Drosophila melanogaster: one gene and its partner. The protein of the gene in region 1 interacts with the protein of each later gene in a pairwise test. Each region holds a gene or a part of one and is shown on either strand. Other genes may lie near its edges.

What was found. The genes of interacting proteins can lie anywhere in the genome.
Region 2: the proteins of Taf1 (region 1) and Tbp interact in binary tests that used the Drosophila melanogaster proteins (3 or more experiments, as listed by UniProt).

Annotation. Positions count from the first base shown.
Region 1 is NT_033777.3:6,644,938-6,649,899, reverse strand, and holds the start of Taf1 (TBP-associated factor 1), read right to left. Parts: upstream 3,012-4,962; 5' UTR 2,911-3,011; coding exon 2,729-2,910; intron 2,607-2,728; coding exon 2,299-2,606; intron 2,236-2,298; coding exon 1,972-2,235; intron 1,918-1,971; coding exon 1,706-1,917; intron 1,641-1,705; coding exon 1,015-1,640; intron 956-1,014; coding exon 575-955; intron 520-574; coding exon 1-519. UniProt on the Drosophila melanogaster protein: TFIID is a multimeric protein complex that plays a central role in mediating promoter responses to various activators and repressors. Largest component and core scaffold of the complex.
Region 2 is NT_033778.4:21,685,692-21,689,297, forward strand, and holds Tbp (TATA binding protein), read right to left. Parts: upstream 1,952-3,606; 5' UTR 1,762-1,951; coding exon 979-1,761; intron 915-978; coding exon 636-914; 3' UTR 501-635; downstream 1-500. Other genes in the region: eIF3k (eukaryotic translation initiation factor 3 subunit k), read left to right, coding at 1-419; BaraC (baramicin C), read right to left, coding at 2,413-2,699, 2,768-2,819; CG10307 (uncharacterized protein), read left to right, coding at 3,352-3,531, 3,593-3,606. UniProt on the Drosophila melanogaster protein: General transcription factor that functions at the core of the DNA-binding multiprotein factor TFIID.

The sequences.
Region 1 (4,962 bases):
ATCGCCTGTATGCACTGGCCAGGATGCAGGATGCCCAGGAAGGGACTTGTGTGCGCAAAGGCCACTTCTCCATAAACAAAATCCTGCGGCCCACTGTCCTTCTCAGCCTTACGCTTGTAGTAGTTCTTTATCTTGGAGCACATGCCCACCTGGTTTATCAGAGGCGGATGCTCTTCGCAGAACTCGGCTAGTACGATGTCTCCGTCCCTTCCGCTTAAATCCTCTGGGTTGCGCATAAAGAAGACGTCTCCGCCACCGGAGGCAATGCGCTCCACTTCGCGCTGCTTCGCCTTCTTTGCGATGGTCTTCAGCAGTGGGAAGACAGGATGAGGGATAGACTGGGCCATTGGCCCGTGGGAGTACTTCTTTAGGGGGGGGCGATGGAAGGCGCGGAGCTTCATCGGGCCCATGTGCGTAGGCACAAACGGAGCTCGCAGCTCTACCACCGGAGTCGAGTGTTGAATAAGATTACCGCCCACCTTAAGTCGTAGGGTGGGTTCTGTCTTCGGTGTGTAGTAACTGAAAGGGAATTAAAATCTGCATTCTGCATCCATTATTATATTAAGAGACTTACGTGTCATTGGATATGTTAAAGGGGTCACGGTCAGGACTTTTGGGTGGCGGCGGAGGTGTGTCCTCCGCAAGCACGTTGATCACACCCGCCTTGCCAAGTAGGATCTTAGACTTTTTTACGTGAGGATGCGGTATCTTGATCTTAGGTGGAGGACCCGTGCTCTTATTGATTTTAGAGGGATCTATGTCATCAGGAATACCCAAAATGATGTTTTCGTCGTTGGGATCCAAAGTGAGTACCTTCGGCTTGGGCACCTTGCTCACTTGCTGGGCATCCCAGATTACCTCGTCCTCCCACTTGTAGTATATTAGCTCCTCATTTTCAACTGGAAAAAGGCTATACCAGGTGTCATCAGGTGCCTCCGCTGGCTTTGCTTGAGCACTAAAATCGATTGAAATATTAGTGTAAAATACGTATGAATTCAACTTTCAATTAATTACTTTTGCTGGGCCTTTTTGCTTGATGCTCCCGAACCCTGCTTGGAGCTTCCACTTCCCACGGGCATAGACGGTTTGCCCGGCTGGCTAAAGGCGCCAGCCGTTCTCGACCCGCTCGAGGGCAACCATCCGGCTGCATTTGTCTTTGAGTTAAGCTTTTGGAGCACCTTTGCCTTGATGTCGTTACCGTCCCAGACCACGTCGTCTTCCCAATGCAGCTGGGAGACCATGAGAAAGGCATCATCCGCAATGCTTGGATCTTCGACATCATCTTCTGGACTCTTTACACGGCGTTCATCTTTGAGTTGCGGCTGAGACGAGGTGCTTGCTGCCTTTGTCTTGAAGCCATAGTTGAACCCCTCTCCAGAGTCGGGCACCTCTAGCATATCATACCAAATCTGTGCAGGCCCGAACCGCCAGTCAGCCACCTTTGGCTTCTGATCGCTGTTCTCGCCGTTGTCCGGTCCTTCTGGACGCACATCCTCGCTGTTGAAGTCGCCCAGCAATTTGTCCTCGTCGTCGGACATGCACTCCGCTGGCGTTGGCTCTGCAGCATAGTGCAGACTGAAGCCCCGCTTTCGTGGCTCCTCAGTATCGCTTGGAGAGTCCGAACCACCAGTGTTTGTCGTCTGAAATGGTTTACGAAAAGTTTCCTGGTGATCCCGTCCCGTTTAAAAGTACTCTGATCTTCTACCTTCTGATCCCTGGATTGATTTCGCTTGCGGCGGCGTTTGCGCACGTGTCGCCAGATCTGGGGCAAACTCGTGGGTTTACCGGGTCCGAAGAGACGGGAGAAGCGTAGCACCTTTTGGGGACGAAAGTCCGGAAAGAGCTCACGCACATCCACATTCTGGTACTTGGACGGCAGTATGTCTGCCAGTGGTGTGTCCAGCTTCCGATCCGCATCTTAAAGGAATGACCATTGACAAAAAAATTCTATTGTTTTCAAATAATTTTTACCCTTTGAATCGGTAGATTTGGAATCGTCACTGGGACTAGATGCATCATTTGACTTGGCCGGTTCCTCGATGCCGCCGCCAGAGCCGGAGCGCATTGGTGCACTTGGTGGAGGCATTAGTTCCTTGTCGTCCTTAGCTGCAACAAAATGTGAGTTATTCTCTCTGTATAGCAATAGGTCTGAACCCAACCTGAGCGGTGCAAAAGTAATCGTGTCACTTTGACAGGAATTGCATAGACCTTTAAAAATTTGAGCAATATCCTCTCCTACCAGTGTTAACTGGTTAAATTAAATGTCATCAAACCGTTGTAGATTACGGTCTTACTTACTCAACTTGGCCTCTACCTTGGAGGCGGGAATGGCGTCTTCTAAGTCATCATAAGTGCTTGTTTCTTCGGGCGGAGTGCGTGGGCAGTCCTCGGATAACTCGGTGATGTCAGAGTAGTCAATGGCATCGTCCTGAGCCTTTACGGCGCCATCCTCCCTTTTAACGCCCGCTTTGAGCGCATCAAAGGCACTCATTCCTTCGCTGGCACTGACGGCTGACGGTCTGGCGTCCTCCTCTTCCTCGTCATCCGACGGAGGCTCGGCTTCCTTGAGATCGATAACCTCGAGCAGCATAGAATCCAGACCCAATCTGAAAGTAATCCATACGCAATATGAATGGAAATGTAATTAAAAGTGTCTTATATCTTGTGAATTAAGATATATTTGAATGATACCGGGTTTACATATGTATGTACAAGCATGTGTACTCACTTGGAAAGGGAACCAATGTTTTCCCGGAGCTCCGCATCGAAACCGGTGCCCCCGCGCCCCTCTCCGTCGTCATCTTGCAGCAGTCTGCCCTCGGAGTCGATGTTGCCGAAAAGAATGCCGGTCAAGTCCAATCCATTGCCGATCGATCCCTCATCGTCGCTGTTGTCAGATTCCATCTCCATTTCTATGGGCTTGCAATGTTTACGCGGCTAAAGTATATTTTCTTCGACGGAGTGTAATTGCATTTTTCACACGCGTAAGTGTGACCGTCGATGGACAAAGCAAAGATGCCTCATGGCTCCCCACTGGCACCAGAAAATCCGCGATTAGATTTGGACAAGGGTTGGGAGCTTGGGAAGGTCAATTGCGTTTTGTACCGAAGGTTAGTGTCCAACAAAAAGGGCTCTGTAATATTTTTAATTGGCAATTTTGTACCATGTATGGCATACGTGGATTTTTATTAAAAAATATATATTCCTTTGATATTCGTACATTTCATTTGTATAATTATATATTTCTGAATAGAACTTCTGTAAACACCATTAACACGATCACTTTTGTTCAGCTTCTATCAAAATATAACTTTATTCAGCCAAAAATAGTTTATTCAACGCTCATTGGAGAAAAAATGGGCATACATAAGCACTACAATGCCAATTTAGAATTACAGTTCTCAGACCTACATTTGTGTTACGGTTTTGTAACGTTGAAGGAGCTATATTTCTCTATTGTTGTTCAGATTTTACAGAAATCTGTAGCAAACAATCATAACTACTTCAGATAGCAAAAACTTAAACCATCAATTTTTATATATTTCTTATTATTCATTTTTTATTATAAATATATATATGTTTATTTTCAGAAGTCTCTTCTTAACTTGGTTTTACTCAAACGATTTTACCAACTGCGCTTTCTCTAGCTGAGAATCGTTTTAATGATAATCTCGAAGAGACTATCCACAACTTTGGGATTTGTACTGTCACAAATTGTCATATTTGTACCAAAGAACTGCATGGGAATGTAGGATTTTTATATGCAGGCTTTGAACTATTTGAACGGATTAAAGGAAGAGTACGCTGAGCTCACAAATTTAGTCACCTTCAAGAATCCGATCCTGAAACTTTTACATCAAATGAATCTATGGTTTTTCAATAGATTTTCGTTATAAAATGTATTTCTGATGATTAAACCGGCTGAAAATTCGTTTTCATGGCTTAAACTCTAAAGAATCATTTTAATTCAAGGCAGCATTTCTCTAGGACACAAACCAATGCCATTGTGTACATTTTTTTGCTAATCTCTTTCCGTGACCGACTTCATTGTACCTCAAATTAATTATATGTTTTATAACTTACCTTTACCAAGGCTTCTGTTCCCAGATATGGAAAACCACAAAGTGGGAAAATTTAAAGGTAGACTAGTAAAAATCGAATATTTTTTTGTGTTTCGTCTTTTTGGAATTTCCCTTCATTATAAAATGCCTCAAATTAAATTTTCGAAACTTAATTATCCACGCTGAATGAATGATATAATAAAAATAAATATACGTATATTTACGTATACCGACCGTGATCAGGACTTAAGCCACTTTGAAGCTTGGAGATGGGTGGCAAGTATTTACGCTGTTGCAGAAAGAATATGATCATTAAGATGAGAAAGTGGCTGCGAAAAGCAAAGTGAATCTTGTGTTTTTCAGTACAATCCCTCAGAATGTCGCACTTGATATTCGAGTTTTTGTGTAGGACGAGGACTAGAGGGTTACTGCCTGCGATAGCTTTTAGAAAGGTCTACCTAGAGGGGGAATATTTAATGGAATGGCTCTGGATATGCCATCTCCATGCTTAAAGAAATCTATAGTTCTTGTTTCGCTGTATAACGCACTGCTGTTACCTGTCACCAACACGATTATCAGGAGAACTCCATGACATTCCATACATGTGTTTACTAATATCCACATATAGATCGAGATTCGTGTCAGCCCGCACCAAGCCAAGTCCCGTCATTGGGACACGGTCGGACATGGCGGGGCATGGGGGGACATGGAGGGTCACACGTTCATACGGACAATATTGTAAAATTACATGAGATGTTTTTACTTGAGAGGGTATGTAAACTTAGCTTGCCTACGGTACAAAATTTCTTATCGTCCAATAAGGAAACAAATTCTAGTCGATTACCTCGACTATCAGATACTACGCAGCTAAATCAAAATATGGATGGAACATTGATAGATA
Region 2 (3,606 bases), on another chromosome or scaffold:
CGGATTTCGTGATGGCCAAGTGCCTGCTGCTGCCCCAGCAGATGAAGGACGAGAATGTGCAGACAATCATCGACCTCGCCGACATACTGGAGCGGGCGGACTTCACCCTCTTCTGGCAGCGGGCCGAGGTGAACCGCAACATGTTCCGCCACATCACCGGCTTCCACGATTCAATTCGCAAGTTCGTCTCGCATGTGGTGGGCACCACATTCCAGACAATTCGCAAGGACCTGCTTAAGGAGCTGCTCGGCGGCATCGAGGACTCGACGCTGGAGAGCTGGATCAAGCGCAATGGCTGGAAGAACCAGGGCCAGGGACTCGTCATCGTGGCCATGCAGGACGACAAAATCAAGACGAAGAACATTACGGAGAAGATCGAGTTCGACAACGTGGGCGCCCTGATGGCCCAGTGCCTGTAGGAACCTCATTCGCGTTCATAGTCCTTGTCTAAATTTTTACGAATAGTAATTAACGGAAAAAAAATAATAATAAAAGCCTGTCCGTACAGCTAAATTACTTTGTGGTTTATTCTCGATCGGAGCTGCTCGCCAGGCTGCTCCCACTCATATGATCAGACTTCCAGAACTACCGACCTTAAAACGTACACGTACAGAACTAATAAAGCGCTATCCTATTTATGACTGCTTCTTGAACTTCTTTAAAATGGGGAATATCTTGTCGAAGGCATCGTAGATCTCCTGCCGCACCTTTGCTCCAGTGAGCACCACCTTTCCGGACACGAAGATGAGGAGCACGATTCGAGGTCGCACCATACGATAGATTAAGCCGGGAAATAGCTCAGGCTCGTAGCTGCTGAAGTTGCAATGGGTCAGCACCAGGCCTTCCAAGCGTATGGGGAACTTGACATCGCAGGAGCCGACCATGTTTTGAATCTTAAAGTCGAGGAACTTTGCCTGCGGGAGAGAAAGCGTTAGAGATTCGCCGGGAAGAGAAAGGAAATGTAAAGTCTTGTCTTACAGGGAAACCGAGCTTTTGGATGATGCGCGCATACTTTCTCGCTGCCAGTCTGGAGTCGTCCTCACTCTTTGCCCCTGTGCACACCATCTTGCCGGAGCTGAAAATAAGGGCGGTGGTCCGGGGCTCTCGGATTCGCATAATCACAGCCGCAAATCGCTTAGGATTGTACTCGGCGTTTCTCGCATGCAATGCTATTTTCTTGAGGTCCAGTTTGCAGCACAGATTAACCGTGGACACGATGTTCTGAAGTTGTGGCACAATACCGGGATCAGCGGAACCTGGTGTGGCTGGTGTCATCGGCGTGGAGGGGCCCATCGTCTGGTGGATGTTGCTCAGGGCATCTCCGCCACCTCCGGCCCCCGAACCGCCCACACTCCGCTCACTCATGGGCATCATGTGGGCCATCATGCTCTGCGGCGTCTGCGGCTGCATCATGGACTGCGGAGTGCTCCCACCGCCGCCGGGCGCCTGACTCTGGAGCTGCTGTTGCTGCTGCTGCTGCTGATAGGAGGCCGATGGCTGGTAACTCTGCATTTGTTTGTGCGCCAGCGGGAGCGATGGTTCGTGGCCAAAGAGACCTGATCCCCCACTGGCGTCCGACTGCTGTTGCTGCTGCTGGTGCTGCACGGAACTGGAACCGGGTGCCGGCATCAACGAATCCGGCTGCGATACAGCCGGAGGATGGTACACAGGATTGGCCACTATCTGCTGGTCCGCTTCCATCTGGTGGAGCGGCGTTCCGATGCTCGGAATCGAGAAGTTGGGGCTTAGCATTTGGTCCATCTTACAGATGGTTTATTGTGGACTCCGGTGAATTTTTCAGTGACTCAATTCAAGATTGCTGAACGGGCTCAACTTTGGGTTTTAATTGCATACCCACAGAGCGGGAAATTAATTTAATAGTAATAATAATAATAATGTAATGCAACCGCGTTCGTCGTTGTACCTGTGGCTCGTTTTGTGAGAATGGCAAAGTCAGCGCTGCATTTTGCCGCAACTATCGATAGCTGGCTGGGTCTTACGTTTATCGTTACGTTCTTAGCATTTAAGTATTTCATTGAAAATATGTATGAAAATAATTATAACAATAATTATCTTTGATTGTATTTTAATGTTTAGTTAAAAATCACACTTCAACGTTTCAAATATTTCTTATACGTTAAATCTCTCCCTTACGTTGTTGCCAATCGATAACTAAAATGGCGCACTTTTCAAAAGAATCAAGTATACTTTGTTGTACTTCTGTTTAATAGCTAAATAATTTGTGTATAAGGTGAACAAAAGAAATAGCGAATAAATAATAGTGCATAATACTTAGAAGGAAAATGGTTATTCTCATCTATGCAGTTTCAGCAATAGATTTTCGTGGGCGTGAACTGAAAAACGATGTGTTAAAAATTAATTAATTGGAACTTTTGCACTTGGAAAGTGCAATTAAATGGTTATTAAACTAATTAGAAAAATGAGAACGCCGCCCATGCTGAAACCGAAGGTTGAATAGGCCAAACTTGTGACAGTTGCCGTTGAGGAATGGGTGTAAGTATTTCCGTGCTCATCGGTGTAGGAATGCTGCCCACTTGAGGGTGAGTTTTGGAACGTTCCTCCCATTTCGGGCACTGTGTAGGGTCCTTCGTTCTGACCCCGTATGTAAATGCCGTTTCCAGGTGTGCCGAACTCATGGGGACCATTTCTTCCATCATAATTCTGCTGCGCATTTGTCACTGGAGAAAAATAGAGAGAGAGTGTTGAATGGATGTGGCGGTTCTAGTGGTTCCCACACTTGACTTACCGGCAAACAACAGCGTGCTCACTATGAAAACAAGTAAAGTACACGATCTCATGATGCAGTTTCCAGTCACTGAGCTCAATTTCAACTGAGAGCGGCTCGGTAATTTACAATCTATTTATATAAACCGATAGAAAGACGAGCTTTTTGCCAATTAGCAGCTGAGAATGGGTAATGTCAAATGTTGAGCTTTCCTTGTGCGACAAACATTACAAGCGACAATGTACCAATTTTAAAATAGAACTACCCTATTGCCAATATCTAGCATTTTGCGCATGCCTTTACCCAGGAAATGAAATTTTTAATTTTAGTTCATCAGCTTGGGAAGAGAAGGCAGGCAAAAGAGAGTGCAGCAAATAGAGATTTTTGTGCATATATAGACTCCGAGAATCGTTATATAACATGCACTCAAAACAAACGAAAAAACGCGCAAATCGGGCGACAGTTCGAAACTACAAAAGACAAGGCCTGAAAACTAAGCTACTAGCGCCAAAAACAGAGTAGGTTTTCCAAAGAGTGTGAAATAGTTTGGAACCCAAGACAACCAAATTCAAGTGCTGCAGAAGTAAACACTTAATAAGGGCGACATGGAGAAGGTTTGTCAGTTTTTCCGCAACAACTACGTGCTGGCCAATTGCGAGGATGCCATATACAAAAAGGCATTCTCCCTGAATCTGTCCCACTACCAAATCTCCGACGTTCCGGGCATCATAGAGAAGTGCGAGACGCTGATGAAGCTGTTCCTCAACCAAAACAAGCTAACAAAGGTGGCACCTGGTGCACAAGATAGCCAATGAAATAATAGACTCACAATCCCTTGACTCACAGATTCCATCCTCCAT